6 separate regions of the Mus musculus genome follow, and all the other regions are reported to be linked to region 2. Evidence: microRNA targets listed by miRTarBase, many of them from high-throughput screens and not tested one by one. Region 2 holds a microRNA gene; each other region holds the end of a gene's coding sequence. Distances are from middle to middle.
The links. Region 2 holds the annotated microRNA mmu-miR-466f-3p (CAUACACACACACAUACACAC, at 3,282-3,302, opposite strand). A microRNA usually pairs through its seed, bases 2 to 8, with sites in the 3' UTR of a target mRNA and lowers its output. Matches are read on the target gene's strand: a 7mer-m8 pairs with bases 2 to 8, a 7mer-A1 pairs with bases 2 to 7 and ends in A, and an 8mer does both.

Region 1: the mRNA of Pard6b is a reported target of mmu-miR-466f-3p. Seed matches in the 3' UTR shown: 7mer-m8 at 1,248-1,254.
Region 3: the mRNA of Plekhg3 is a reported target of mmu-miR-466f-3p. The part of its 3' UTR that is shown has no 7-base or 8-base seed match.
Region 4: the mRNA of Btnl9 is a reported target of mmu-miR-466f-3p. Seed matches in the 3' UTR shown: 8mer at 4,487-4,494, 8mer at 4,418-4,425 and 7mer-A1 at 4,401-4,407.
Region 5: miRTarBase lists Unc5c as a target of mmu-miR-466f-3p. The part of its 3' UTR that is shown has no 7-base or 8-base seed match.
Region 6: the mRNA of Ldb3 is a reported target of mmu-miR-466f-3p. Seed matches in the 3' UTR shown: 7mer-m8 at 4,454-4,460, 7mer-m8 at 3,170-3,176 and 7mer-m8 at 3,156-3,162.

The regions. Positions count from the first base shown.
Region 1 is chr2:168,098,515-168,103,590 of GRCm38, forward strand. It overlaps Pard6b (par-6 family cell polarity regulator beta), which reads left to right. Exons shown (of 3, transcript NM_021409.2): 3 at 1-2,689. The coding sequence ends at 696. Among named protein-coding and RNA genes, the nearest start is that of Pard6b, 20 kb to the left of the region's middle.
Region 2 is chr2:10,466,967-10,472,030 of GRCm38, reverse strand. It overlaps Mir466f-2 (microRNA 466f-2), which reads right to left and starts at 3,356; the gene lies at 3,263-3,356. All of the region lies in intron 10 of Sfmbt2 (Scm-like with four mbt domains 2), which reads right to left. Mir466f-1 (microRNA 466f-1) reads right to left here; the gene lies at 4,994-5,064. Mir669f (microRNA 669f) reads right to left here and starts at 4,802; the gene lies at 4,682-4,802. It also overlaps Mir669e, Mir669b, Mir669d, Mir669l, Mir669d-2 and Mir466f-3.
Region 3 is chr12:76,577,944-76,583,019 of GRCm38, forward strand. Plekhg3 (pleckstrin homology domain containing, family G (with RhoGef domain) member 3) reads left to right here. Exons shown (of 19, transcript NM_153804.4): 19 at 1-1,096. The coding sequence ends at 465. It overlaps Sptb (spectrin beta, erythrocytic), which reads right to left. Exons shown (of 36, transcript NM_013675.3): 36 at 2,545-5,076. Among named protein-coding and RNA genes, the nearest start is that of AI463170, 33 kb to the left of the region's middle.
Region 4 is chr11:49,164,407-49,169,482 of GRCm38, forward strand. Btnl9 (butyrophilin-like 9) reads right to left here. Exons shown (of 10, transcript NM_172793.2): 10 at 3,919-5,076. The coding sequence ends at 4,648. Among named protein-coding and RNA genes, the nearest start is that of Olfr1394, 6.9 kb to the left of the region's middle.
Region 5 is chr3:141,827,503-141,832,578 of GRCm38, reverse strand. It overlaps Unc5c (unc-5 netrin receptor C), which reads right to left. Exons shown (of 16, transcript NM_009472.4): 15 at 4,900-5,076; 16 at 1-4,172. The coding sequence ends at 4,007. Among named protein-coding and RNA genes, the nearest start is that of Gm15689, 150 kb to the right of the region's middle.
Region 6 is chr14:34,524,839-34,529,914 of GRCm38, forward strand. Ldb3 (LIM domain binding 3) reads right to left here. Exons shown (of 15, transcript NM_001039074.2): 15 at 1,861-4,711. The coding sequence ends at 4,622. Among named protein-coding and RNA genes, the nearest start is that of 9230112D13Rik, 4.6 kb to the left of the region's middle.

The sequences.
Region 1 (5,076 bases), 160 Mb from region 2:
CCCGTGTCATCCATCATCGACGTGGACATCCTCCCAGAGACGCACCGGAGGGTCCGTCTGTACAAGTACGGCACAGAGAAGCCGCTGGGCTTCTACATCCGGGATGGCTCCAGCGTCCGAGTGACACCGCACGGCTTGGAGAAAGTCCCCGGCATCTTCATATCTCGGCTCGTCCCTGGGGGTCTGGCCCAGAGCACGGGCCTGCTAGCTGTCAACGATGAGGTGTTAGAAGTCAACGGTATAGAAGTGTCCGGGAAGAGCCTGGACCAGGTGACTGACATGATGATAGCCAACAGCCGCAACCTCATCATCACCGTGCGCCCGGCCAACCAGAGGAACAACGTGGTGCGCAACAGTCGGACTTCTGGCAGCTCCAGCCAGTCCACTGACAACAGCCTCCTGGGCTTCCCACAGCAGGTGGAGGCCAGCTTCGAGCCCGAGGACCAGGACAGCGACGAGGACGACATCATCATTGAAGACAGTGGCGAGCCGCAGCAGATCCCGAAGGCCACCCCCGCCCAGAGCCTGGAGTCCCTGACGCAGATCGAGCTCAGCTTTGAGTCCGGACAGAACGGGTTCTCCCCTCCTCAGGACACGAGCCTGGTGCCTGTGCCCGGCAGCCTGGACACAGAGCTGGAAAGCCGGGCTCCGGACCAGAAACTCTTAGAGGAAGATGGGACAATCATAACATTGTGAACCACCAGGTTGTTTTCTGTTTGAGGGTGTAAGGAACAATGTTGGTGTGCACACATGACTGACACTGTGGACCTGCAGGCCCTGATGTTCCACAACAAGTGTGGCCGGGCTGGGCTGGGAGTCTGCCGAGGCAGGCTGCCGTGACACGGAGCAGGTGCTGCTGCTCTGAAACTGAGACCTGCCTGAGCCGAGCTGCGGTGGCCGGTGTCCACCTGCCTGCAGAGCCCGCTCCTTGCCCTCTGTGAAGTCTGATCATCTGCTAGCCACTGGGGACCTCGGTTCTTCGATTCCCAGACCCTGTTTTCTGACTTTTAAAGTGTTCCTCTGTTAACTGTGACAAATTATTTTTTCATGTGCAGTTTTTGTTCTGTCTTCCCATTTTCTAAAACTTTAGCTGGCCATGTCTAGGGGCCTTTCCCCTGGCCCTGGAGCGACACCTGTTGTCGTCACCCTGGAACTTTACAGTTTCGGGGTGCCATAGTCCTTCATTCCAGTCCAGTGGAGATTATTTCAGTGTGTGCTGTGCACGTGTGCGCATGTGTGTGTGTGTGTGTGTATGTGTGGTGTATGTGTGTGTGTGTGTGTGTGTTTGTGGGTAGGTGATAGCATAGTTAGTTGACTCCCACACTCTTCAGTGTACCAGACAGTGTGGATCATGGGATAAAAATGCCCCCAGGTTAAGAGACTTACACACGATATAGATGTGCACTTTTTATTCAAAAGACGGAGTTTTCTTCCTGGGGATTCTAGGGTGCTGCCCACATTTGGGGAAACCCGTGTCAAGTACACCACTCGCAGGGCTGGTGATTATTTGAGTCTATTTATTCTCTTCTGTGCGTCCATTTGGGATGAGGGGACCGCAGTTGTCTTCCCTTACCTGGCTCCCTCCTGTTGCATGCACAGTCAGCGAGACCCACGTGTGTGGCTCAGACTTCCCTGAGGCCCAAGGCTCTGAGGGGGACAGTTATTTATTTCTTAACCTTGTGGTGGCCGAGTGTGGGTGCCTCATAGGTGTGTACTGACTCCGAGTTGAAGGACTTTTTCCTCGTAGTAAGAGCCGGCAGAAATGAAGTCTTGATCCAATGAAGGGCACTGACTGAGCGAGTTATCTGCAGGCGCCTGGCGGAGGCTGGGTGCAGTGAGCCTGTGACTGTTGAATTCACTGAGTTTCTCCTCTCACACGGCACCCACCGCTTGCTAGCAGTGCTCCCCCTCGCTCCCCCTCTGACACTGCGCTCCCTGCAGTGGAAGGCAGCCATAGGCACAGAAGGCTCAGTTGCATATGTAACTTAGGGGTGCATGGGCTCAGCATTGTAAGTAAAGATATTTCACATACTACCTCTCTCTTCTCTCTTTCTCTCTCTTTTTTTAACAGAGTTTTAACATAGAACCTTTCTCTTGGGGGAAGAAATACTTCAGGGCTTGACTTTTGTACAAATTTTAACTGAAAAACAGATTTCTCTTCTGTCTGAAAACGGAGATCAGAGCTGCTGACGCTGATTTTAATTTCAAGGACAATAGTGTTTGTTAGTGATGAGGTCGTACCAATGAAGTCAATGTCAGTAGACCTTCTGTGAGGCCAGTGAGTCTTGGCTGTGGAGGTCCCGTCCCGTCCCGTCCCGTCCCGTCGGCTCAGTTCTTGAGACACCTCGGAACAGGAGCGTAAGCGTCGGCAGCTTAGCGTGCAGTTCTGTTGTCCCGAACGTCGAGCCTCACTGTGAATTCTGTTCTGTCCTAAGTCCGCCATGTCAACCAGATGCTGTGCTGTTGTGAACCATGAATTTTCTAATTAAATTTTACATGCTATAACATACATGCTATAACATGATTTTTACATGAATGATACTTTGTTTAAACTATTAAATGTCAGTATTTTACTACAATTTTATTATAAAATGTACATTATCACTAAATGAACTTTGATTTTAAGAATCAAGTTAGCTTTAGTTACATATTATTTTTTACAAATAAAAACGGACTTGTATAAAGGCTACTTTCTTGTTTGAAATTACATGAAGAGAGGATGTAAGGATGTTTGCCAAGCATCCTTAGTTACTGCATAGGGAGTGAAACTGAGTCACCACTGATTCCTTGACCCTTTTCCAGGGCTATGCTGAGCCCCAGGCCTCGGTCCCCACATCCCCCACCTGTCCAGGCTGAACCCCAGCTCGGGGCACTCGGTCTCTCGGAGCTGGAATGACAGACGCAGGCCATGTGGCCATTCCCTAGTTGTTTTGTTTTGGTTTTTAGTTTTAGGTCAGGTGCAGTGGCATGCCTTTGATGTCCAGAACTTGAGAGGCAGAGGCAGTCAGATCTCTGTGAGTCCCAGGCCAGCCTAGGCTACACACTGAGAACATATGTTAAGATAAGGTATTTTGTGTGTGCACACAGAAGTATATTTGTGTACATGTAGGTGTTGGGACAACTTGTAGAACCTGGTTCTCCCACTGGGTCAGGGAGGGTCTCCTCATGTAGCCTAGGTTAGCCTGAGACTCTGCCCCTGCCTGCAGTGTACTGGTTTTTCCCAGGCCTGTGCCCAGATGTCAAAGAGTGATTGCTTTTCTCTTTGGGATTTTTGTTATTTGACTTCAGTTTGTGTGTGTGTGGGGGTGGGGGGGTGTTTGTTTTTGTTTTGTTTTGTTTTTTATCTGAGGGCAGTTATTTTAAAAAGTCATCTGTAGCCTCAGGCTAACCTTGAACTCATGAAGCCAGCTTTTCCTGCCTCCCCTCCCGGGTATTGGCAGTACAGGCACGTGCCAACAGCCTTGCCTCATGTTTGTGTTCTGGTTTTGAAACTTGATAGGTGACCAGGCTGGCCTTGAACTCACCTGCCTCTGCTTCCTGAGTGCTGGGATTAAAGTCACGTGCCACCACACACCGACTCTTGGGTGGTTTTTTTTTTTTTTTGAGAGCTCACTATGTAGCTCAGGTTAACCTCGAACTTGGCATTGTTCTGATTTGGGGTCAGGTCCTGGGTGTATGTATCCTTTATTTTGTGGGTCCAGGTGGGCGGGCCGCAGCAAGTGCCTAGAGGTCAAAGGACAGCTCTCAAGAATTAAGTTTCCTCCATCCACCAGGGTTCTGGGAATCCAGTCTAAACAGCAGGCGCTTTTAGCACCACGCCATCTTGCTAGAGGCTGGTATGAAGATGCCAGCTTCCGTGGATACCTTTCTACCCTTGGTGATTATTTCCCCTGGCCCGGAACTGAATCAGACCCTGTGTGAGCACAGTGATGGTCACAGGCCTGCACCAGGAGGCTCTCGGTGGATTGGACCAGTAAGATTTCCTGGCCTGTGGAACTGAATAACTGAGTCTTGCTGAGAAACGGGCAGAGAGACCCTGTCTCAAAAAAAGGGAAAAAAAATGTAGACAGTTCACCCAAGAGAGGACTTCCGCCACCATGTTACTGATTTAAAACAATAATGGTTGCCAGACGACCGGGTAGCACAGCTACTGGGGAGTCTGAGGCAGGAGGAGTCAAGGTCAGTCTAGACAACTTCTGTTCCATGACGGAAGTACACAGAGCTGGGGTGTCAGTGGTGGGAAGCTAGCCTAATATGCATGAGCTTATAGGTTTGGCCCTCAGAACCAAAACGTAAAGAGGGCCCTGAGGGCTCATTCAGTAAGGAGCTTGTCACACAAGCAGGAGGACTTGAGTTAGAGCCAGGTGCTGTACAGCCCTGGCTGGGACTGGCTGACCCGTAACTTTAATGGGATCAGTTCCTGATTCAGTAGGGGACCTTGTCTCAGAAAAATAAGATGGAGGGCCAGCAAGATGGTTTGGTGAGTAGAGGGGCTTGCTGCCAATTCTTAACAATATGGATTCAGTCCCCAGAACCCACATAATGGAGAGAACCAACTCCTTCCGAGTTGTCCTCTAACCACAAACACAAGTGCTTTTCTTGGTTGGTTGGTTTTGGTTTTTCAAGACAGGGTTTTCCTGTGGCACCTTGGCTAACCTGGAACTTGTTCTGTGCTGGAACGAAAGGTGTGCACCACCACACCCAGCATGAATTCCTAACAATAAATAAGGTGCGGAGCAATGGAGAAGATATTCAATGTTAACCTCAAACCTCTACATATAAGTTTGCATTATGTACATGCACGCTGTCGCACACAAACATGGATGCCACAGACAGGCACACAATCATTAGTGACTGTTGACGACAACCTAGGCAGGGCCCCTCCCTGCTTCCTCCTTTGTACCCACTTAGCTTTTCTCTCAGGCAGGTTTCCTCCTTGCGGAGAAGGTGGCCGACAGAGACCCATCCCATTCTGTTACTTGGCGTCTCTGACCCACCCTGTGCCTGAACCAAGCACGCCCAGTGACGTCACTGCCCTGGCCTGAGACACAGGCTAACCTTGGGGAGGTGTCCTGG
Region 2 (5,064 bases):
TGCGTGTGTATGTGTGTGTGTATGTATACATATATTCATATACACACATGCACATGCACACACACGTAAACACACATGCACATACATGAGGGGCATAACATGAATGTCTGGATGATCACTAACTGAAATTGAGCATGAATATGAACTCCTGATCCTCCTGACTCTGTCAACAACTTTCACCTGGTGAGTGAGACCGTTCATTGACACACTACTGCATAATCTATAAGACTCTAAGTCACATATCATTCAAATGGATCAATGAGTGCCATTCCTGTGTTTATGTTTATGTTTTTGTGTTTCCGTGCATGCGTGTGTATATGGGTGTGTATGTATATGTATATTCATATAGACACATATACATGCACACACAAGTATACACACATGCACATATATAGGGGGCATCACATGAATCCAGGATGATCTCTTACTCCTCATGAAGTTAAGCATGATTTTCAACTCCTATACCTCCTGACTCTAACAAGGGTTTTCACCAGGTGTGTGAGAATTGACACTGGCCCTGTCATACATAATCTCCAAAGGTCTAAGTCACATATCATTAAAATGCATCGATGAGTACCATTCCTACATGTATGTTTGCATGTGTGTGTATATGTGTGTATGTATATGTATATTCACATAAACACATGTACATGCATACACTTCTGCACACATGCACATAAACGGGGGACATCACATGAATCCCAGACTGATTGCTACCTCATCATGAATTTAATATGAATTTGAACTCCTCATCCTCCTGACTCTGGCAAGAGTACTTAACCTCCTAACTGAGACATAGCTCTTGATCAGTACTGCATAAGCTCTAAAGTTCTAAGTCACATACCATTCAAAAGGATATATGAGTGCCATTCCTGTGTGTGCTTGCGTGTATGTGCATATTCATATAGAGAAGTGAATATGCACACAGCTATACACACATGCACATTCTTGTTGGGCATCACATGAATCGCATGATGAACTCTAACTCATCATGAAGTTAAACATGAATTTGAACTCCAGATCCTCCAGACTCTGGCAAGCGTTTCACCTCCTAACTGAGACATAGCTCTGGATCACTACCGCATAAGCGCTAAAGCTCTATGGCACATATCATTTCAAAGGATATATGAGTGGCATTACTGTGTGTGCATGTGTGTATATGCATATTCATATAGAGAAGTGAATATGCACACAACTCTAACACATGCACATTCTTGGTGTGCATCACATCAATTGCATACTGATCTCTAAATCGTTGTGAAATTAAGCATGAATTTGAACTCCTGATCCTCCTGACTCTGGCAAGTGTTTCACCTAGTGAGTGAGACTTCTCCTTGACCCATTTATACATAGCTCTAAAACATTAAGTTACATATCATTCAAATGGATAGATGAGTATCAATTTTGAGTTTGTGTGTGTGTGTGTGTATTTGTGTGTGTCTCTGTGTGTGTGCATGTTGTGTTGGTTAGTTTATATGTGTATATTTATATGCATATATTAACATGCACACATACATATATGCACACATGCACATACATAAGAAACATCCCAGTCTGATTTCTATCTCTTCATGAAGTAAATTTTGTATTTGAACTCTCTCTTCACCTGACTCTGGCAAGTGTTTTTACCTTATGAGTGAGACTATTACTGACCCAGTACTACATAATATTTAAAGCTCTAAATTATATATCATACAAATGGATCAATGAGTGCCATTCATGTGTGTGTGTGTCCATGCATGCATGTATGTTTGTGTGTATGTATATGTATATTCATATACACATATACACATGAACACACTTATGTATACACATATGCACATTCAAGGGGAGACATCACATGAATCCAGGCTGATCCCAAATTCTTCATGAAGTTAAACATGAATTTGAACTCCAGATACTGATGACTCTGGCAAGGGTTTTTACCTGGTGAATCAAAACTTTCAGTGGCCAAGTACTACATAATCTCTAAAGCTCTAAGTCACAAATAATTCCAATGGATCGATGAGTGCCATTCATATGTGGGTGTCACATGTATGTGTATGTATGAGTTTATGTATATGTATATTAATATACACACATACATCACGGGATCATCACAAAAATCTCAGGCTCCTCTCTAACTCATCGTGAAGTTAAGGATAAAATTGAACTCTTTTATTATTAGGTATTTTCTTCATTTACATTTCCAGTGTTATCCCAAAAGTCCCCCATACCCTTCCCCCCCCAACTCCCCTACCCACCCACTCCCACTTCTTGGACCTGGCGTTCCCCTGTACTGAGGCATATAAAGTTTGCACGACCAATGGGCCTCTCTTTCCACTGATGGCCGACTAGGCCATCTTCTGATACATATGCAGCTAGAGATACAAGCTCCGGGGCGTACTGGTTAGTTCATATTGTTGTTCCACCTATAGGGTTGCAGATCCCCTCAGCTCCTTGGGTACTTTCTCTAGCTCCTCCAATGTGGGCTCTGTGATCCATCCAATAGCTGACTGTGAGCATCCACTTCTGCGTTTGCCAGGCCCTGGGCCTACTGACTCTGGTAAACATTATCACCTGCTGACTGAGACCCCTCTCAGGCCAAGTACTGCATAACCTCCAAAACTTGAGGTGACATATCATTCAAATGAATCACTGAGTGCCATTCATGTCTGTGTGTCTTTGTGTGCCTGTATATGATTGTATGTATGGATATGTATATTCATATACAAACAGGCAAATGCACACAAAACTATACACCCATGCACATACACGGGGTACATCCCAGGAATACCAGGCTGATCTCTAACTCATTATGAAGTTAAGCATGAATTTGAACTCCAGATCTTTCTGACTATACCAATCGTTTATATCTGGTGAGTAAAAAGTTTCATTGGCCCAGTACTACATAATTTCTAAAGCTCTAAATCACATATCAATAAAATAAATCGATGAATACCATTCCTGCGTGTGTGTTGATGTGTTCATATGAATGCGTGTATATATGGGTGTGTATGTATATGTATATTCATATACACACATATACATGCACACACAACTATACGCACATGCACAAACATGGGGGGCAAAACATGATTCACAGTTTGATCTCTAAATCCTCATGAATGTAAGCATGAATTTGAACTCCTGATTCTCCTGATTCTGGCAAGCATTTTCAACTAGAAAGTGAGAGCACTCACTGGCCCAGTACTACATAATCTCTATAGTTCTACGTCACATATCATTCAAATGGATAAATGAGTGCCATTCGTGTGTGTGTGTGTGTGTGTGTTACATGAGTGTGTATGTGTGTGTGTATGTATACATATATTCATATACACACATGCACATGCACACACACGTAAACACACATTCACATACATGGGTGGCATCACATGAATGCCAGGATGATCTCTAACTGAAGTTAATCATGAATTTGAACTCCTGATCCTCCTGACTCTGTCAACCATTTTCACCTGGTGAGTGAGACCGTTCATTGACACACTACTGCATAATCTATAAGACTCTAAGTCACATATCATTCAAATGGATCGATGAGTGCCATTCCTGTGTATATGTATTTGTGTGTGTGCATGCATGCGTGTGTATATGGGTGTGTATGTATATGTATATTCATATACACACATATACATGCACACACAAGTATACACACATATAGAGCAAGCAACACACAAATCCCGGGCTGATCTCTAACTCATCATGAAATTAAGCATAAATTTTTACTGCTGTTCTTCCTTACTCTGCAAGCATTTTCACCTGGTGAGAGAGAGAGAGCTCTTTTGGGCAAAGGAATACTCAATCTCTAACCTCTAGGTTGCATATCATTCACATGGATTGGTAAGTGGCAATTGTGGGTGTGTTTGTGTGTGTGTGCATGTTTGTGTGGGTATGTATGTATATGTATATTCATATATACATACATTTTCATGCACACATAAATATACACACATGCACATACATAGGGGTCATCACATTAACACAAGGCTGATCTCTAACTCATCATGAAGTTATTATGAATTTGAACTCCTGATTCTCCTGACTGTGAGAAATGTTTTTGCCTGGTGAGTGAGATGTCTCACTGGCCCAGTAAATTTACATATTATACAAATGGATCGATGAAAGCCATTTCTGTGTCTGTATCTGCGCATGCGTGTATATGTTTGTGTGTATGTATATGTACATTAATAGACACACATGCACATGCACACAAAACTATATACACATGCACATACATTCATGGGGGACATCCCATGAATTCTAGGCTGATGTCTAACTCATCATGAAATTAAGCATGAATTTCATCTCCTAATCCTCCTGAGTATGGCAAACATTGTTACCTGGTGAGTGAGATCTCTCCCTGGCACTGTCCTGCCTAAACTCTCAAGCTCTAAGACACATATCATTCAAATGGATGTGTGTGTGTGTGCATGAGTGTGTAAGTGTGTGTATATTCATATTCATATACACAAATGAACATGCACACACAAGACACACACCTGCCCATATATAGGGTACAGCCCATGAATCCCAGGCTGATCTTTAACTCATTATGAAGTTAAGCATGATTTTGAACTCTGGATACTGATGCTCTGGCAAGCCTTCCCTGGTGAATGAAAAGTTTCAGTGGCCCAATACTACATAATCTCTAAAGCTCTAAGTCACATATCATTCAAATGGATCAACGAGTGCCATTCCTCTGTGTGTGTTTGTGCTTGCGTTTATACGTGTGTGTGTATGTATATGTATATTCATATACACACATGCACATGCACACACAACTATACACACAGGCACATACATGGGGGGCATCACATGAATCACAGACTAATCTCTAAATTCTCAGGAAGTTGAGCATGAATTTGAATTCCTGATTCTCCTGATTCTGGCAAGCATTTTCACCTTCTGAGTGAGACCATTCACTGGCCCAGTACTGTATAATCTCTAAAACTATAAGTCACATATCATTAAAAGTGATCAGTGAGTGTCATTCATATGTGTGTGTTGCATGTGTGTGTATGTGTGTGTGTATGTGTATGTATATTCATATACACACATGCACAT
Region 3 (5,076 bases), not on the chromosome of region 2:
AGCAGCTGGCCCCGTAGCCTGCTGGTCAACAGGAGTCGCTCCCTGCCCGAGAACATCGTAGAACCTCCCATGTCTGGCAAGGCGGACCGCTGCTGTGGCCTGAACACCCACAGGCGCCTGGGAGATGGGGAAGCCTCCCAGCCTCCACTTCCTGAGTCTCCTCCCCAAAGCCAGCTGAATGGAGGCGACGCCCTGTATGTCACCGCAGACCTTACCCTGGAGAACAACCAGCGAGTGATCATTATGGAGAAGGGGCCCCATCCTAGCTCCACCGTGGGGCTGGAGGAAGACAGTGGGAAGGAATCAAGTTCCCCAGTGGCTTTGAAGGGACAGGGCCAAGGTTTCCAGGCGTCTGCAGAGTACCAGCCCAAAGAACACGGTCCCAGGGACTCAGCAGACACAAACAAACAGGGTAGAGTGAGAAACCTGAGGGAGAAGTTCCAGGCCTTGAACTCTGTGGGTTGATTGACTCCTAAAGGAGAGAACAGCCACGTGGAGGTTGGAAGGACCTGGCATGCTCCCCCCACACCCACACCCCCCTAGGCCTGGCTCATTAAGGCTGATCCTCCACTCTTCTGGAAGAGTGGTTTGGAGTGGAGTGTGAACTCACCTGTTACCTGTGCTGGCCCCTCCCCTCCCCTCCCCTGGGAGGTCCCAGGATGACTGACTTTCCTTAGGTCCAGATGAGCTACTTACCTTCTCTGTAAATACTTCTCTGATAAGAAGCCAACTGTTTTATCCTGCCCAGGGAGGGCGAGCACTGCCCTGGCTTTCCTTACTGGCTGGCCACTGCCTGGCTGAGAACCCAAGGGAGAGACCTAGGAAGCAGCCCGGGCAGGCTTTGCCCTTTAACTGCCTTGTCATAGGACCCAGGCAGGAATGAGGCCAATAATTTATTGCTTTATATCCTGTGGTGTGTGTGTGGGTGTGTGTGTGTGTGTGTGTGTGTGTGTGTGTGTGTGTGTGTGTGTCTTGTAAAGAATGTAATGGACTTAGTTCAGGTACTCTCGAAGGTTGTCTTGCTGGCCCTGTGGTGGTTGCCAATGGACACACATTTCATTCTTTACCTATGGTATAATAACCACTGCTGACCAACCAACCTGTGTGTGGCCTCCTTCCTGGGGACATGGATGCTCACTCAAATGTCCGGGCACAGCAGACAAGATAACAAGGGTGCTCACGGGTCAGGTGGGGTACAGAGTGTGAGGTGGGATCTTGATTCCTCCCATGTTTGCCTCTGTGCATTGCTTTGTCCACCCAAAGCGTCATGTTCTGTCTCGGGTGAGATTCCCACATGGGAGCCTTGAGCTCTTTTCCCAAAGACAAAGTTGGGAAAAGCTGGAACCGACAGGGCGAGCAGAACCCTTCAGATAAACGGGGTTTTCTAGGGTCCAGTGACTTTTACTCATCTCTCCCTCTCAGGTCCCCAGGAGTGGGTGAGGGTCCTAAGGTTGAGGCTTAGCAATGTCCTAAAGTGGTCTGCAGCGTTGTGGAGTGTAAGTGTATTTTATTGGAATGGTTCCTGTTCTCAACAGCACCCACAGAAGTGTCTGGTTGCAAAAGGCCAGGAATGCCCCATTTCTAAATGGGCTTTTTTTCTGCACAGAAGACCAGCTTTACTTTGGTTTCTGTCTAGGGTCAGAAAAGAGGGCCTTGGTGACAGACCAGTCCTTCTAGTGTACCTGCAAGTCTGCAGGGAGTAAAACCTGGGCATCTTTCAATCTAAGAGGATGGATTGGATTGGATCTGAACATAGGATGACCATCAACCCCCACCCCACCCTGATATCGGGTGAGTGGTGGTCTCCTGGGCAGGAACAGAGCAGGCCTGCAGTAGCCCATGCCCTCTCGGTCCTCTGCAACCACTGTCAGTCACTGAGAAGACAGCTACTGTTTTTGAGCAGGCCAGTCCCAGGATATGACACCTGATAACGGCCATAAAAGCATTGGATGGGTGACTCTAAGTCTTGTCCCAGCCTTGCTACCAGCTGGGTCACCCAACTATGTACTTTCCTCATCTACAGATTGAAGGCTGGATGAATCACTGTTTCTCAAACTCAATGACAGCATCCAGGGGTGGAGCCTGGGCAGTTGTGGCTAATGTCTTTTGGGTGATCCTTACAGTCCAAGTGTAGGTGTGTCTAGGAACCTTGGACAGGGACAGTTGCATTCACAGGCTCCTATTAGAATTACCTGAAGACCCTCTGAAACCTGGCAGTCCCATGTCTCACCCAGGCCAAATAAAACTGCCCCTCTGAAAATGGATCCCAGGACAGATAGGAGATCAGGTCCCTGCTCCTGGTAGTTAACAGCCTGAACAGTAGATTGCTTAGAGACAACTTTGGCCTCGAGTTGATTGAACTCATGAAACGAACAAGCTTCCTCAGGGTCCCAGATGGGATCTAGTGCCTGGATACCAGCAGTCATCCCATAATACTCTGAGGAACAAAGTAAAACCCTAGCTGTCTCTCTGTTTCCATGGTATCTTCCCTCTGATGTCCAGTTCAAAGGAACAAGAGGCTGGTCAAATAAACAGAGACAAACACAGAGTATTATTGATTTATTAGAAAAACTAGTAAATGGGGTTCTTCTGGTTGGTGGAAGCACATTTGAGCAGGTGGAGGACAAGGCCCAGCCAGCCCCAGGACCAGCCCCAGATGGCATGATCTGTGCCCAACAGGGTTCCATCTCTCTACCTTCACTTCACTTTCTGTGTCCTCCCTGAGCTTGTCCAAGAGACCAAGCCACGTGGCCTGCTGTTCTCTTCCTCCTCTGAATCTGCCTCCTCTTGGTGACAGAGGAAGGAGATCCAGGACCCGCCTAGGGGACCTGTTGCCCTCCAGTAGTCAGGAAGGAGAATGTGGAGGAGGGGAGGGAGCCGAGCCTACACAGACTTCTGTTAGTACCAGGAGAGGTGGGGTGGGAGGGTCCCAGGACCCTCTGCTCCTCCTCAGCCTGTCTGCCCAGGCCCAGGACAAAGGCAACGGGAGGGAAGGAGAGCTGCCTGGCTGTGCCCAGAGAGCTTCCTCCAACCGCCCTGGGGAGGAAGCCTGTGATGCTGGTGTGGACTGGAGCAGTGTTAACCCAGTTTGAGAATACTGTCGGGGAAGACTGCAAAGTAGAAAATACCAGGAGAAAAGTCAGCCTTGCCAGGGCACCATGAGAGCCCATCCCTGGAGTTCACAGGGTTCCCACAAAGTCAGTCCAGTGTGTCGAGTGCCTTGGGGCCTGGGTGACATGAGTGCAAGTGTGGGGAGCTGGCTGTGATGGGAGGTCCAATGCAGCTTACTGCCCTTGTATATCCTTTGCGGTGAAATCCTAGCTCTTCCATTGGAGCCTTTTCTTTCCTGGCTCTGTGGAGTTACCGGGAAATTCTCACTTCAGGCGCTACTTGAGTACACGTGGAAGGGAAATGTAGACCCTCATCCCTTGGCCCCCCAGACTAAGCCAGGGGAGCTGCCTGAGGGCGCTGCTTGCCACCTAATGCTTCATCGAGGAGCCCACTTCCTCTCCCAGAAGATAGACGTGCCTTTCAGTGTACCAAGGCCATTTTTATTGTCAGGGTGCAGATGCCTCCCTGCCTACTGCTTTGGTTTCTCCAGCTGTACAAAGAGGCTGGTGAATGGTGCCCTCTATGTTCCCTGTAGGAGAGAGTTATAGGGTCCTATACGCTGAAACCAAGTTACAGACTGGCTGTGGAGATGAAGAAATCAGGCCCCACTGGCTAAGGTGGTCGTAGTCTACTGGAGTTGAGTTCATACTCAGATCATGTTGGGGGCTACAGGGTGCAACTGATCTCTGAGCTATACCTGCCTGGTCAACAATGAGGAATTCTGGGAAGGCCTAGTAACCGTATGCCTACCATTGAGCCTTACCCATGGGGAAGGCAGTAGAATCTGGCTGTGGGCCCTAGGGACACAGATGATCTAGGCGAAAAGGCCCCTTGCCCTCACCTCGACCATCTTTTGGACCTAACTCCAGCTGTCATGTTGGGCTGGAGCTGTGTTGCTTTTAGTTGTGAAGCAGAGCATGCCTGTAGGACCCGTGGTCCTAGTCTCCCATAGGCATGGAAAAGCACTCCCCAGGGACAGGCTGCAGAGCCCCTTTTAATGCTTGAAGAGGGGTAGTGGTTGTTTGGTGATCTCTATACCATGTGACCCCAAAATCTAAGACTAGGTCTGCAGAAACCAACCAAGAGGAGCCACACCTTTCTAATAGCCTCAACATTCATCCCTGTGTTCCAGGGGTTATTGTGTCACAAGCCTGCATTTGTCACCCTTAGGTAATAAACAGCTCTGTGTCCAGCCACTGGCCTGGTTGGTGCCAGCTGCAGGGCTGGCGGAGGGGGAGGGGGACATGTAGCTTTGAGATACTTGACTGCAGGGCATGGGTATTCAGCTTGTATCTGGCACCAGCCCTGACCACGTACTGCTGGTTTGGCTGCAGCTGGGAATGGGAGAAAGAGCCGCAATATAGGCAGAGCCTTAAGCAGTGTTGGGACCTGTCTGTCCCTCCTGTGGCAGAGGTCTGAACCCTAAGCTATACTAGGGTTTCCAAGAGAGCAGTGTGAGGAATTCTGTTGATGCCAGGAGGATCAAAGGGAGAAAGAGGCTCACTCACTGGGGACTCACCCAAACTCTTAAGGGTATGAGAAGAGAAAAGAAGGGACATACTAGCCCTGAGGAGAGAATCCTATCTCTGAAGGAGCCCACGGGGAGGAGAATGGCAGTACTCAAAGCTTGACATCCATATAGTCCCCTTGGTACTCCACTAGCCCCTTACCTGATTCTGAAGGCCCTTCCTCCTGCCCCTAAGGAACAGGGCAACCATTGTCAATATTACTTTTCCTTTCCCTAGCTGACTATGGTCAGTGATCCCAAAGGGGATTTGCTGTGGTGGTAGTGGGCAGTGCTGGAGGAAGGCCATCAGACATCCCAGCTTGTAGGCAGGAAGAGGAGAGTATATGCCGTACAGAACCGTTTCCAGCCCCAAAGGAGCTGGACCTCCAGTCCCTGGAGCCCAGCCAGCTGCTTGGGGTAGGGGAAGTGGAGGGCTGTTGGCAGGCATTAGGGAGGCC
Region 4 (5,076 bases), not on the chromosome of region 2:
CATAAGAGATTATTGGGGAAGCATTCTTTACTGCACATTAGTCAATACAATGCCCATCTCTAGATTACAACCTGATCTCAGCACCTGAATACATAGCACACAAGACCAACCTCAACACGTACCAGCATACCCAGCTGATCTGTTTTAATAGGTCCATTTAGTTCGTGCACTGATTGAATGGGAGGTTATGGAATTCGGATGTTGGTAGAAAGGAACATGACCAGCAGTGAACAGGTTCTGCATACATTTTGAAGTTTAAATAATAAGAATTTTCTACCTTATTGTTAGAGGAGAGAGTCAGGATAGAGTGCCATTAGCTTAGGTTTATGATGGAATGAAGGGCTATGTGTTTTATTTGTTTGTTTCTTAATGTGATGCTAAACATCAAACCCAGAGCCTCCTACATGCTGAACAAGTGTTCTGTCACTGAGCTACACTTCCAACCAAGGGGGAAAAGCCTTTGTTAATTGGACGGTAATTACTCACACAGCCGAACCTACACAGTAAGCTGTAGACATCTCGACACCAAGGTGAGTAAACCTATGGAATACAGCCAACTTCAGCAGTACATTGATTCCTTCCTCTAACTCACCCAGAGACTGAGAAGGCACCTGGCCCCTTCTTACAAAACAGCTGATGCCACACAATCCTAAGTCCCAATTAATAAGTAATTTGTAACCCCCTCATTGTGGTTTACAACTATAAATATAAACCTGTAAACACATTCTCAAGATTGTGCCAATCATCATCTTTCCAGATTTTGATCCTAATGCTAGCATCTTGTTAGAAATTAAGGAGCCTGAAGAGGAGGCAGAGTCTCTCTCATGATCAGCTTGGGACTCCACCTCCCAAGTGTGTCTGTGGTAACACTAATTTCAAGGAAGGGAGATGTATGACAGTTGCTAGTCTTCATTTGAAATCCCCATGGGAGAGAGAGGCAAGAGGAGGTAGTAGGGCTTTGCTGAGGTCTGTTAAGGGAAACCAGCCTATTTTATATTTAATTTTAAAAACTCTAGGCTCCTTGAGAGACCCTGTCTCAAAACATAAAGGTAAGAGAATGATAGAGGGAGGTACCCAAAGCCTTCACATGTACATGCGCACGTGCACGCACACACACACACACACACATGGGCCTCCAAAACAGTCGCACCATAAAAATTTATGGCATCATAACATTGGATAGTATGAATACGTTTATTTTGTATAGTAACAAACAGGTGGCTTCTAACCTCTAGGCTGCATAGTAAGAGCCTGGCTCACTAACACCAACAAGGCACCTTTCCCCTCCCTACAGAACGAATCTAATCATACCTCTGACCATTTAATACTACAAAGAGGCACTTAGAATATTAACAGTCACCAAACATTTCCCCTCCAGAGACTAGCATTGAACTTTTGGGTCTGTTCTCTTTTGGTTTGTTAGGTTTTTTTTCCCAACACACTCTTTGTATGCTTATATTTTTCAAAACCTACTTTAATAAGTGTACTTAAATGCTTTAACCTCCCTTCTAGCCTACCACCCACCAGAGGTAGTGGGAAAGAAGGTTAATAGGGCAAAGGAGGGTGTGGACCTGTTTAGAAATTGTTCTTTGGAGGGAATCCGATCTGTGTTGTCAGAATAACAGCAGTTCAGTTCACACAAATCAGCAGCAGTATCTCGATCCACTTGCAAACACCATTCACGAATCAGCAGTGGCAGGTTGATCCAGGAGAAACCTCAAGGCTCTGTCAATCTGCTGGAGTCTGCAGAAGTGCCAAGAAGCTGCAAGAACACCACCAGAAGTTCTTTGGTGTGTTTCTCTCTGTGAAGTCATGACAAAGACCAGCAAGGAGTAGCAAGGCGAACCAATACCACACAGTGTTGTTCACTGTTGGGATGTATTTATACCTTCTCCAAACATCACATGTTCTCTCAAGCATCTGCTCTAGCAAAACATCATATACCCCTTTCCAGGCAGCTTCCAGAAAATCATCACATATCTGTTCTCAGCAAAACATCTTCTACGTGTCTGCTTCAGCAAAAACATCCTCTGATAAGACAGTTTCCAGAAAAGCATTACATGACACAACTGAGTCTCCGAAGAAACCAGACATTTCCACTTCAGCTCTTTGAATCTGACACACTTGAAGCCTACCTCAAGGTATGTCAAGTCCCTGCAGATGAGTTAACCAGAGACGCTATCAATCACCACCTTTGCTTTCTGGGGTTTGGGGGAGCACCTGAGAGTAAAATAGTCATTGTGTTTACCTCAAGCATCTCTAAAGCTCTCAACACTTATTTTTGAAGAACAATATTTCCCTGCATCACTATGGCACTAACTAAAAATCAACACTCACATAAGTATTTTCATATTTGGGGGCTCCCATTCATTTTTCTTTGACCTAATGTCTTATCTCATCCTTGAAAATGTAAATGTCATTACATGGCTCATCCTGCAAATTATCATTGCAATAGTACTATCCCCATTTCCCTTTTCCTTTATTTTTCTAAAGGAAGCTCAAGGACAATTTTATCAGAGTTTACAGCAAACTGGTACAAAGGAGATGAAAACTCTGGCATGCAAAAGGAAAAGATGAAGAAAACACCATGACTTTTACATTAGATATGGAGTAGAAATAGGTGGCGCACACCTTTAATCACAGCACTTTGGAGGCAGAGGCAGGAGGATTTCTGAGTTCAAGGTCATCCTGGTCTACAGAGTGAGTTCCAGGACAGCCAGGGCTACACATAGAAACCTTGTCTCAAAGGAGAGAGAGAGAGAGAGAGAGAGAGAGAGAGAGAGAGAGAGAGAGAGAGAGAGAGAGAGCGCCTTTTAAGAAAGGAAAAAGCTCTCCCAAGAATGTGAGGATGCTAGTAAGCTGAGGAAAGAGTCTGAAGTCCTTTCCCCTACTTAAAACAATTGTATTTGTTTTTGTTGTTTATTCTTCTCTCATATATAACATCCTGACTGTGATTCCTTCTCTCCTCTTCTCCCAGCCCCCACTTATCTCCCCTCTCCTCCAGATCCACTCCTCTTTTATTTCAGAAAAGAGCAGACCTCCCAAGGATATCAACCAAACATGGCAAAATAAGATGCCGTGAGACTAGGCACATCTCTTCATATCAAGGCTGGGCAAGGCAACCCAGTAGGAGGAAAAGGGCCCCAAAAGCAGGAAAAAGAACCAGCAGCAGCCACTGCACCTATTGTTAGGAGCATCACAAGAACACCAAGCTACTCAACTGTAAAATATAGGCAGAGGACCTCGGTCAGATCCATGTAGTCTTCCTGATCCTCCCTTCAGTCTCTGTGAACCCCTATGAGCCCAGCTTATTTGATTCTGTGGGCTTTGTTCATACAGTGTCCTTGTCCTTGACCCTTCTGGCTTCTATAAACCTTCCTCCTCCCTTTCAGGAGATTTACTGTGCTTCTCCTAAAGTTTAGCTGTGGGTCTCTGTGTCTGCTCCTATCAATTGCTGGATGAAGCCTCTCTGATAATGATGATGCTAGGCTCCAGTCTACAGGTATCATTAGGAATCATTTCATACACTTTTTTCTCAGTTGTGTTTATATTTCCACTATTTTAAGAAATATGTAAGATTGCTACATAAGATTGGTGCCATCTTGCTTTTCAATAGACTGCCTGGTGGGCTTATCAGCCATCAGTTTTTTGTTTGCTTGCTTGTTTTTTGTTTTTTGGTCTATACTGATTATTTCCTTGATGCAAAGCTAATAGCTTTTCCATTCCACCCTCCCCATTCTCTTTTAGAAAGGTTTCACTTAATTATTTCTAAGACTTCCTTTGCAAACAGAGGAAAAATAAAGTGTTAGCATGGGCTTATACATTTGGGTTTTAGTTATTGCCTAATACTACATTATCTTAATTTTTAATTTTAAGAGATTGTAACAAAATTCCATAATTTCTCCTTTCCTTTTCCTTCCCTCAAATTCTCCTATGCCTCACTTCTAGCTCTCTTTCAAAATCATGGCTTTTAAAATTAATGATATTAGATGAGTATATGTATATACTTATATTTTGCTAAATATAGCCTTTTCTGTTTGTAAATGTTACTTATATGTATGTTTATGTTTTAGGAGTATCGCTGCATTCCTGCCATCCTTATCCTGCTCCACCTGAGCGGGGGATCCAATGCACTTTTCTGGGGAAATCGGCAGTGAAGTTGAAGATGTGTGCTATCCCTCGGGCTAGGCAAGCACTCTACCACTGCTTACCCCCAGCCAGCCACATCACTGCCATTATTGAATTTCATGTTCGAATTGCCACATACATGATCAAGGAAGTCGCTATAAACTGTATTCTGAGCCAAAGGTGAACTCATTGCTTATGAAATGACATTACTTCTAGACTTTTGCAGGATCCACAAAATTACACACACACACACACACACACACACACACACATATACACTATACAGAACTATACACACATTAGCGGATAATTATGATTCTTTCCCATCTTCTACACTGCACACTCCAGAATCCTGCTATATACACAAACAATCTTTCATTTGTCTGTTTAAAGATAATTATATACATTCATCTGTATAGGCCCTCTCTCTCTGTCCTCTTTCTGCTGACTCTGCTTTGGCTGCAGGAGAGCAAAGCGCTGTCCAGGAGTTCAGGACAGTGCTTGGACCTGGCCTTGAGGTCAGGACACTGCCTCATTAACAGCCCAGGCGGGGTCCAGAGGCTCATAGGGCTGTAGCCAGTTGTCGTTGTCGTTCTCTTCGAGGACCTGTGGCCCTCTAACCGGCAAAGAGCAGATGGTCATAGGATCCGGATGTTCACTGCCGTCGTGAGCTCGGGGCCTTAAGTAGGCGCGGAGCGCCCCTGAGAAAGTGTCGGTGAAGCTGAAGATGTGCGAGCCATCAGACACGTTGAAGAAAGACAGCTTCCCGGCCTCGTAGTCCAACAGGACGCCTATCCTCCGGGGAGGCACGCGTAGCGCCAGTGCCACGCGATGCGGGTCCAGCACGAAGTACTCGCAGCGGTTCCACAGCCCCATCACCCAGTAGCCAGCCGCCGGGCTCAGGCGCGCGGGCCCGGAGCGCTCCACCGACTCCAGACAGGCGCCCAG
Region 5 (5,076 bases), not on the chromosome of region 2:
TTCTACATTGATTAGCTCCAGAGCGCAGACTGTAGGGATGTGTATGGATTGTGGGATAGAACATTCTCCCTATAAGCTCTCTTTGTCCTATGGCTATGTAGGTGTGTGTGAATGACCCAGGATCATAGGTGCCAGGTCCTCATCAGAGACACACAGAGATGTAGGCAACCATCTACTCTCTTCCAGATGTGAACTGTCTAAATCCTACCCTCTGAGTGTTTCCCTTTCAATCATTTTTAGGAGAAATGTCCTTAAAACCTAGTTTTAATACCTATTTCCTAGAGGATCCTAAATATAGTCATTGCAACTTTCCCCTAAAGGATGTCTCTACTCTTTGATAGTGGAATAATTAAAATCTTTAGAATCATAGAATATATGAAAATAGCTAATGATATACTTTGATCTTGGACCTCTTATTCCCCAAATTATCCTTTCCCAGAAGAGATTAATTTGCTCAGGTCAGGATGGAATTCTTTGTGTAGCAGAGACAATGTGTCTGCTTTGAAAATGTTTGGCTGTGACTTTCTTGACACATGCTTAGACTCAAGCCAATTTGAATTAATGTCAATAAGAAGAGAACATGAAGTTTTAGATTCCTAATCTCAGGTCTACTTCATCTGAAGATCATTCGTCTTGATTAACAGCCACAACTTCCATGTCCATAGAGACAGGATTCTCATTTACAAATGTAGAGCAGGTTTGAACAGGTATAGTGGTACATAGTTAAACTCTCACCACTTGAGAGGCTGTGGAAATAGGGTCATGGATTTGATGATGTTCTGGGATACCTAGCAAGAATATATATGCCCAAGGTGATGCCATGTGTGTGGAGCTGTTGGGCAGGGAATCTTTCTTCTTTGTGAATACAGTTTATATTTCTAAAAGTCAGTGTTTGGGAGTTAAAAGATTTCAAATATGCAAAGCCCAATGACAATTTTCAGAGACTTTTAAAAATACAGATTCCATACATGTCTATCACAAGAAAGTAACTTAAGATGTGTATGAGTAAGTTGATGACGTGCTATACCCAGAAAGTTGTAAAATGGATAATTTAACTGAAGAATACGAGAATAAGAGAATTACACATGTAGGTAAATTTCACCATGTCTATTTGTCACAAATGTCGAACTCCACAGGTACTTAACTCTCTTTGTTAATTTTTTGTAAGCTGTATATGACATTGAGTAACTATGTGGCAGGCCACTAGATGGCACCAGGCACAAATAATTTGTTTTTCTACCCACCCACAGCAAGCAAGGCATTCCTGAGAAGCTCTGTAGAAGTCAGACATGCCACAGGGGTGATGATGAAGCTCCCTCTAAGATGAACTGTGGCAGGTGAAACGTGTGTGTTGGAAAGCAGCAATCTAACAACTATCATTTTCTTCCCAAGGAGAAAGAGCAGACTGCTTAGTGAAAATTATTTGATGTATGGTATGTTCTAGTTTGGAAACTGTCATTCACATGATAGAAAGTGGTTTTATGACATATGATTCCTTCATAAGAGATCAGTCATTTTTCCTTTTCCTGTTGTGAGAGTCTGAATACAAAAGCAAGTATCTCTAGATGCTTGAACACGAGGACTCTCAAAATATTCAATAATGTTGCTTTGGTTATATTCAGTATTTCTGTGTTGGTGACTTAACAGTTTTTAGGATAAATTAACCAGAATAGCAACATATTTGTTCCTCTTGACTTAGCACAAAGCATTGAAGTTACACAGAACATCCAGTCCAGACCTCTCAGTTTGGATTTCTTTGATGGTTCCAAAATCCAAGAAGTGTAGAGGAACCTTCACACTTGTTTCAAGAGGCAGCAAAGTCTTTCTTCCTCTTACTTTTTAAGAACATCAATCAAACTCTTAAAAGTTCGAACAAACTCATGCTTACAGATATCAGCCAACAAACTTCGTTAGGAGTATAGAATTTCCCTTCCACAGTCAGTGGGACCAGGATTTTTATATATGAATATGGTTAGAGAAAGAGACTGTAGAATACATCTCTGAAAGAGAAGACAAACAGCATGAAGGAAGAGGCTCCACAACTGTACCCACAGTTCTTTAATGACTAGGATAGAAGAGTTAGCGTGTATCAGGAAGTAACAGAATCAGAGGGTATTAGGCAAAATGATTCCCAATGGAATCCATTCAGCAACCTGAATACTTCTAGCCCCAAAGTACACCACAGCCATATTTTGAAGTTTCTGACTTAAGGGCATAGGTGCTTTCTATTTAACTATGTCAGTGGGGCTGCTAAGTTTTCATTCACTATCTGCTGAATGGAGTTCCTATATCAAAAAATAAAAACAAACTAACAAACAAACAAAACCCAGGATGGTCCCAAGGAGTATGCACAACTAACGTTTTATAGGATGGTCCTATAGCACTAATCTACATAAATACAACTGAATATTACTAAAGCAAAGAGTAATAAAGAAAGAAAAATGTTACCAATTCATTCAGCTGCATGGGCTTTTTGTAGAAATGGTCTTGAGATCTGGAGATCAATAAATGAGTAAAGTAGAATTTACAGTTAGTTGGAAGGCTGGACATTAGGGCCCCAGCAGAGGTCAAGACAATGGTAAGAAAAGGATGCCATCTCTAAGCGAACAACATCATGCAATAATGACACAAAGATAAAGACAAACAAATGTGTGTTGAAGTAATCCCTGTTCAAATCAATCCTGCCTGCAAGATAGAAAAGGATGATGACATTTGAATGGGAGATCAGCATTCTGGAACCTTGAGATGATCTGGTCTCACCACAAAGTTTACAAAGAAGGGCAATGAGCGCCAGTGAGTTTCAATGTTTTCCCCAAAGTCACACAGCCATACAGGGACCAACTCCACAAGGATAACTGGTTTCCTGATTCCTAGTTCAGACACTGTTCCCACAACCATACTGCCTCCCAGATAGCCACAAGAGTAAATGAACTTTACATAGAGAACTCTCCTCATGATAAGAGCAAGAACAGAAAGACTCTGACCGAGCAAGCTGAAAGAGCAGACATAGCCATTGAGCATTTCTGTCTTTTCCACCACAGAATGGTAGACCAAAGGTCAAGGAAGCAAAAGCTATTGAACTAAACTGGTGACCATGCCCACCTCTTTAGGCAAGAAAGGGAGGCAGGTCTAGTCAACACCAAACACTAACAGTATTGCTAACTAAAACAAAAGGAAATTCTTTTTACTAGAATATTTGTAATAATCATCAATAATAATGATAATATTTTTTAAAAAACACTTGAAATTGCTTATTACAAACACACATGTGGTACAGAAATGTTTGTGTGGAGGAACATGAATAGCTACCTCCCCTGTAATGCTAGAGCTCTGTTCCCAAAGGATACCAACGGGGTTACCCCAGGATATAAGGAATTTTCTCAATTTCTCCTTTACATTTAGATTCTCCACTTCCCTGATACCAATGCCAATACTGGTCCAACAAGTTTCAGAAACAGAACACTGATGGGAAGATTATCTGAGACACTTGATGTACATGATTTTTAGCAAAAGTCTGTGATTTCTCTGTAAATTACTAATCTGAAATAGACACAATAAACTGTCCACAGCTTCAACTTCAAATGATCTGAACAAAAATAGAACGAGCCATGGACAGTGTCTGCATCCCTGTCCAATTTGATGTAAACAACATTTGTAGAAACTGGGTTTGTTAAGAAAGTTTATCCATACATCTGGATAGCAATAAAAAGCGTTTCCTAGGAAACTGTAAGATCCTGTACCATACAGCATACAGCCCAACGAAGAGAAAATTAGATTGATTCTTAAATTCAAGGTACAAATTTACACAATTTTTCTTAACTCCCGCGGTGGTGCTGTCCGAATGAAGTGGGCGTGTACCTTGGTGGTTATATCTGTCCCCCAAGTTTCCTGTTGCCATCTTGCCTGTAGAGCGCCTTGGTCCTATCTGGATTTCCTCCTCAGATGTGGTTCCCCTGAACACAGACTCCCTGTGTAATTGTGTCCTTCAGCTTTAGTTCCAGTGTGGTCAATACTGTCCTTCTGCTGCCAAGGACACCACTGTCTCATGTCTTCCCATTTCTTCCAGGACGGCTGCCAGCATGCTCAGGTTTCCATCTGGGAAGTTCTGTGCTTCCCAAAGATCCAGGATTACGCCAGTTGGGCTCGATTTGGTGGCAAAGTAATTCAAGTACCTGCAATCAAGAATGGGAAAATATGCTTAGAGGTGTGATTTACAGGTCTATTTACAGTATTATCTTCTCTGCGTTGGCACTAAACCTGTCTGTCTTGAAGCATTTCAGTCCTACCGTGGATCCTAGTGAACTCCACTTAATGATTGCTCGGTTCCTAATTAGATCAGCTCCAGACAGGACATGTGCTGTTTAACTTTGTTAACCTCAACTCTGAATAGGATAATTTAAGAGACAACGTGTCTGTGGGTTTTGTCCTAAACAGGAAATCAAGAGGCTTATGTTTTCTGTCCAGTCTGGACTCTGATGATCTTTGACAGGTCATACCACATCTCTTCCTTGGAGGTGACAGATATTTTCTACGAAGCAGAGGCTCTCAGGGTCTCTTTATAACTTAATACAAGTGCTTGTGTGAGCATGTAAATTATTCATCATGCATTACGTCTTGTTCAACTGGCGATGGATGAACAATAATTACTTTAGTGAATAGACATCATATTTAGGAGCTCTTAGCACATGAGCTAGGTAAAGTCTATCACAAATCTTGACACTGATAAATGTCATATATCCCAGGAATTCTCTTGGAATTGTTTGGAAGCTCACAGTCAGAATGAAAATATAAACAGATGTGTAGTGGGAAGAGAAAAGTGCCACTTTCTATATCATTCCTTTCAGTCCTGGAATCTCTGCTAAATGAAAACAGTAGGTCTAGAAGCCTGGACACACTCACCTGTCCAGGTTGAGTTTATGGGCCAGCATCCTCCAGTCATGGCCTCTTGTTTGAGGGGCATCCAGGCTGCTGCATAGCTTCTGCCGGATAGGGAGAGGAATGCTGAAAGCACTTGGTCCGGTGACAGTGGTGATGGTACTAGCAGGGTCCAGGAGAGGTAAGTCGATGCCAGTAGGT
Region 6 (5,076 bases), not on the chromosome of region 2:
TGTCTTATGTGGTTGATATTTTTAATTGTTATGTCGTTTGTTTTCACTGCTAGTTCTTCCAGAAGATTTTTGGGGGAGGGCACATGGAAAATAAGAGGAGTGAAGCCATAGATCAGAGTGGATGGCTTTGCTACTGGTAATAATGACAGTCGCTGCATTTTGGTGATAATTTGAATTGTAATTTCTTCTAGAAGTTCTACAGTTTGTTTCCAAAATATCTTTGGTGCAAGTGTTATTGCCTTTTTTCAAATAGATAAACTGTTGAAAAGAGTTTTTTTTTTTTCTAACACCACTCAAAGTGTATAAAATAGCCTTGATCGAGACCCAGGTTTCATCAATGCCAAAGTTAGTATTTATTCCATGGCGTCTGGCTAACTTCATAACTGGCCCCTTCCCTCTCCAGACCTTTAGCCTCACACTTAGAGGGTCCCTAGAAGATCTCTTAGATACCTCCAAATTTAGATTCTATGATTTTATGGGATTTTTTTTCATTGTCAATTTAAAGAATTGCATCACTTCAAATTTATATCACCACTAATGATATTGTTTGTTTGTGTTTGTTTTGGGACAAGGTCTCACTATGTGAGTCCTGGATGACCTTGAACTCCTGCCTCCTGAGTCCTGGGCTGGTTTATGCAGTGCTAGGAATGGAACCTAGTGCTTTGTCCATGCGAGGTATTATTTTTTTCTTAATGCCACTAGGAGATTTTCCTCTGAACTTATTTGAAAAAAAAAAAGGGAAAAATAAATGAAAGGAATATAGCAACTTTTCTATATTTGAAGCTGAACAAAATAAAAATTAATCTGTGGGGTTGGAGAGATGGCTTGGTGGCTAAGAGCAGGTACTGCTGTTATAGGGGACCCGAGTTTGTTCCCAGCACCCAAGTCAGGTGGTTCATGACCCGTTATACCTCCAGCTCCAGAGAAATCCAATCCTTCTTCTAGACTCTACTGGAACCCATGCTCACACGCCCATCCATACCCAGACACATGCATATGTTCATAGATAAAAAGTAATAAAAGATAAATCTTAAAGTTGGGGCTGGAGAGATGGCTCAGTGGTGAAGTCCATGTATTGCTCTTGAAGAGGACAGGGTGGTTCAATTTCCAGCACCCAAATGGCGGCTTATAACCACATCAGTAACTCCAGGTCCAGGGTCGTACATTCTCTTTTGACCTGCAAAGGTACCAGGCAGGCAAATGATGGACATACACACATGCAAGCAAAGTGCTCAGGCACATAAAATAAAAATAAATAGAAAAATTTTAAATAGATAAATTTATAAATAAACAAATAAATCTAGGCTATCAAGATGGCTCAGTGGGTAGTGACACTTGCTTCTAAACACGATGACCTGAATCTGTACTCGGAACCCACATGGTGGAAAGAGACTCCTGAAACTTGTCCTCTGACACTACACACACACCATGGCACATGTGGTCTTACACCCCCCACACACACACACACACACTACAAGTTATAAAGTGAAATAACAATTAAAAAAGAATCTGATCATGTGCTGGGTCTGTAGTCCATGATCTGCTGTATACCAGAACTGAAGAGGCAGAGGTTGTATCGTGAGACTAAATATTAAATATTGAACCACCTAACTAAAAGCACCTTTCCAAATCTACAAGGCAAAGCCTATTCTTCAGCTTATTAATTATTTTTGCATATAAAACATGTGTTATTCATACAACTTTGTTTACATAAAACAATTAAGTTGCTGATGTGCCACAGACTGAGTGAGCAGTGTCCCTTATTCACAGGACAATTTGTCTCATACTTTTATTTATGGGCCTCTAGATGTCAACTATTTTTTAATGACACATGAAAGAACTTTACACAGAATAAACATCGCCATTTGTATATCTTTTTTTTTTCTGAATTTTATTTTGCTAAAAAGAATCCACACGGACCAAAAAGAAAGAAAAGGAAAATAAAGGAAAAGAAAACCATGCAAAATAGTTTTACACACACCTCTAACACACTATATTCCAACTTCAGAAAACTTACCAAAAAGAAAGGAAGAAGACCCCAAAGCAAGAATGCTAGGGTTGAAAGTTCACATTACAAAGGCTAGATTGCTAACACAAACACTGCCAATACAAGCCATTCTACTCAGAAGGTGAGTGTTTATCAGTATATTAGATTAATGCCAAGAATAAGAAAACAAGACACACTGTATTCCTCCTATGCACTAGTAAAGATGTGATGGTAACCTATCGACATTCAGCCTTAATCTTAACACTATGCATGCTCACCCTGTGGACCATTCTTGAAACTGGCTTCTTCTCTGCTACCTTTATATTGGTTTTTGGCAGTGCTGGGGACCAAAGCTAGAGAATCCTAAATTCTAGGACAATTCTGTACCACTGAATTACACCCAGCCTCTAAATGTTGTTTTGTATTTAAAAAATAAGAGTCACTTAAAAATACATGTAAGCTATTAAATATTTGTTTTAAATTACTTAACATAGGAGAATGGTGATGCTTTCCTTTAGGATATTTTGATTATCTTCTTAAGGATCCTACAACAAAGGATAATGATTACACAGGAGCAGTGTCTGGGATCATGTATAAAACCTTTAAAAAGACATTTTGGAAATGTAATGGCAGGGGTTTTTATTTCCCTTCCTCAAGATCAGTTCCCAATCATTTAATAGATTAAAAAAAAAATCAACTGCTTAGAAGCCTTCTGTTTAGTCAGCAAGCTCCTTGTCCCTGAATATCTGAAATTTCCAAAAATAACAGACTACACAAGGTACTGTTCTGCATGTCTGGACAAACCTCTGAGCTGTCCCAGCAGAATGCACTCAGCCAGGAGCTTTGCATAAAAAGTAAAGAAGAGCTGTTTGGAGGAGCATAGTTCTGACCTTCCCTGGTGCTGCCTGGGCGGAATTGGTGATTCCAAACTAACTATGGACTTCCTACTACACAATGTCTAACTAATTCAGAGTCTTCCAGGGAGGAGAGACCGGTAAGTAGGAGGATGCTCTCTTGGAAGTCTTAGTTCTCAAAAGAAGAAAAGTGTGAATGCATACCTATAAAACATTTCAACCGTGCAAAGTGGAAAATCCAAAACAGGTTGGAGGAGAGAAGGGCAGTGGTTGGTACAGTGCCTACATACTGTGCTCCAGTGAGAAACACACACATACACACACACACATACACACAACCTGCTTCAATACCATTTTCAATGAACATCCTTCCTAACAGCACTTCCTAGAAAGGAAGGTGATTGCACCATCTCGAAACCCAAAAGGGAAGCCACTTTCTTTACTTCTAAATAGCTTTACCAAGCTCACCTAATTCCATGTATATGTAAAAGAGTCACCTGTATTGTTATAGAGTCTGAAGGCCAGGTCTATTTCAATAAATATTCTAAAGCCAGTCAACTATTTTCAAATATTGGCCCAAATGGCAAATGCAGCTTTTCCTCCTTGCAGCAGTCAGCATGAGTATATACTTCCTGTGCTGCACTTAAAGGAACAGGTTAAGGGGATGGTGCAGCTCTGGAGATGGGAGGTCCTGCAGCCCATGCATTCTTCCTGAGGTTAGCAGAGCATCCTCTCTCCATGAGCATGTGCGCAGGTGCTCCCGGGAGCCCGTTCTAGCATCCTGTTTGATGCTGTCTCTCTTTTTCCCACTGAGCCTATTTGAGGGTGGGGCTGAGGAAGATGTTCGTGAGCTGTTGCGGGTAGGGGGTGAAATACGTGCACAGAACACTCCCTCTCAGAACCCTCTTAAAGCAAAACAAAGGCTAAAACCCCACCCAGAGTCCTTTTCAAACCTCTTCTCATACATTGTAAAGCAAAACTGGAGAAACCCAATTTCACTTTCCCTTAACAATTCATAAAGGAGCAAAGCCTTCCAGGGACTTTAGATATTTCAGAGGGAAAGAGGGGGAGATGCAGAGAAAGCTCATCTTTTCTCCCCTGTCCGTGGCGTGAGCGAAAGACCTCCCCGGAGCCTTTTCACTTGCCCAGTGGTGGCCCGCCATTGCCTCAGACGCCTGGGCTCCCCTTATATGTTTCAAGTTTGTTCAACATCTGAAGTCTGATGTGCAGAGGTAACTCTGTGATGCTAATGGAACAACTCTTCCTTTTTTGGTGAGGAAAGCCCAATGGGTCTTAGCTAAGGAGCTCTCAGTGCCGGCTCTAAAAATATCCGCACAGCAAACACTGCTTGGCACATCGTTGTGCTTGCCAAGGATCGCTCCAGAGCTCCGCTGCACACTTTAGATCCTCCATAACTGCCCAGGGCTCTGTCCCCACACTGGCAACAGACATGGCTAGGGAGTCTTTGATTTTTTAACATTGTTTTTTTGTTTGTTTTTCACTGTTGATTTCTTGGAGTCATTTCCCCAAAACCTGAAGTCCAATTCCAGCCGTGGATTAATTACTAGCTGGGTTTAGAATCTTCTTTTGGCTTCTAGTCTGAACTACAATAATACACAATCTGTGTATACAAGAAAAGACTAAAGTTAGACTTCAAAAGGGCTCAACCATTTTCTCTCGTTCCCCTTCCCTCCCAGAAGAAACAACATCAGCTTCTTTGACTCCTTCGTCATCAGTAGCAGGAGCAGCCTGGGCTTGGCACACCAGCCACTCTGGGCTCCTACACGTTGATGGCATGTGCGTGCTTCTTGCACAGTGGTTTGTCTTTCTTAGAGTAGAATGGCTGACCCTCCAGATTCACGTGGCAGACCTGGGAGGGAAGACAGAGTCACCTTTTAGTCAGATGCACTGTGGCACCTAAACAGGAGAAGCAGCCTGGTTTTTTATCCCCTCTGCTACAAAGTCTAATGACTGGACCAACTGTGTAGGTTGAACCATATAACATGAACATGAAGATGTCCAGGGGGTTGAGGATGTAGCCAGTTGCATGGCCATCATGCATAAAGTCCTGGCTTTGATTCCCAGAGCCACGTAAACTAGGTTTGCTGGGTATGCCTCTAATCCTATGCTGGTGAGGTGTTAGGAGAAGGGCATCTGAGCTACCAAGATTCTGTCTATAAACACATAAATAATTATCAAAATAAAAGACTTTTAAAAAGCATGGACTGAAACTCA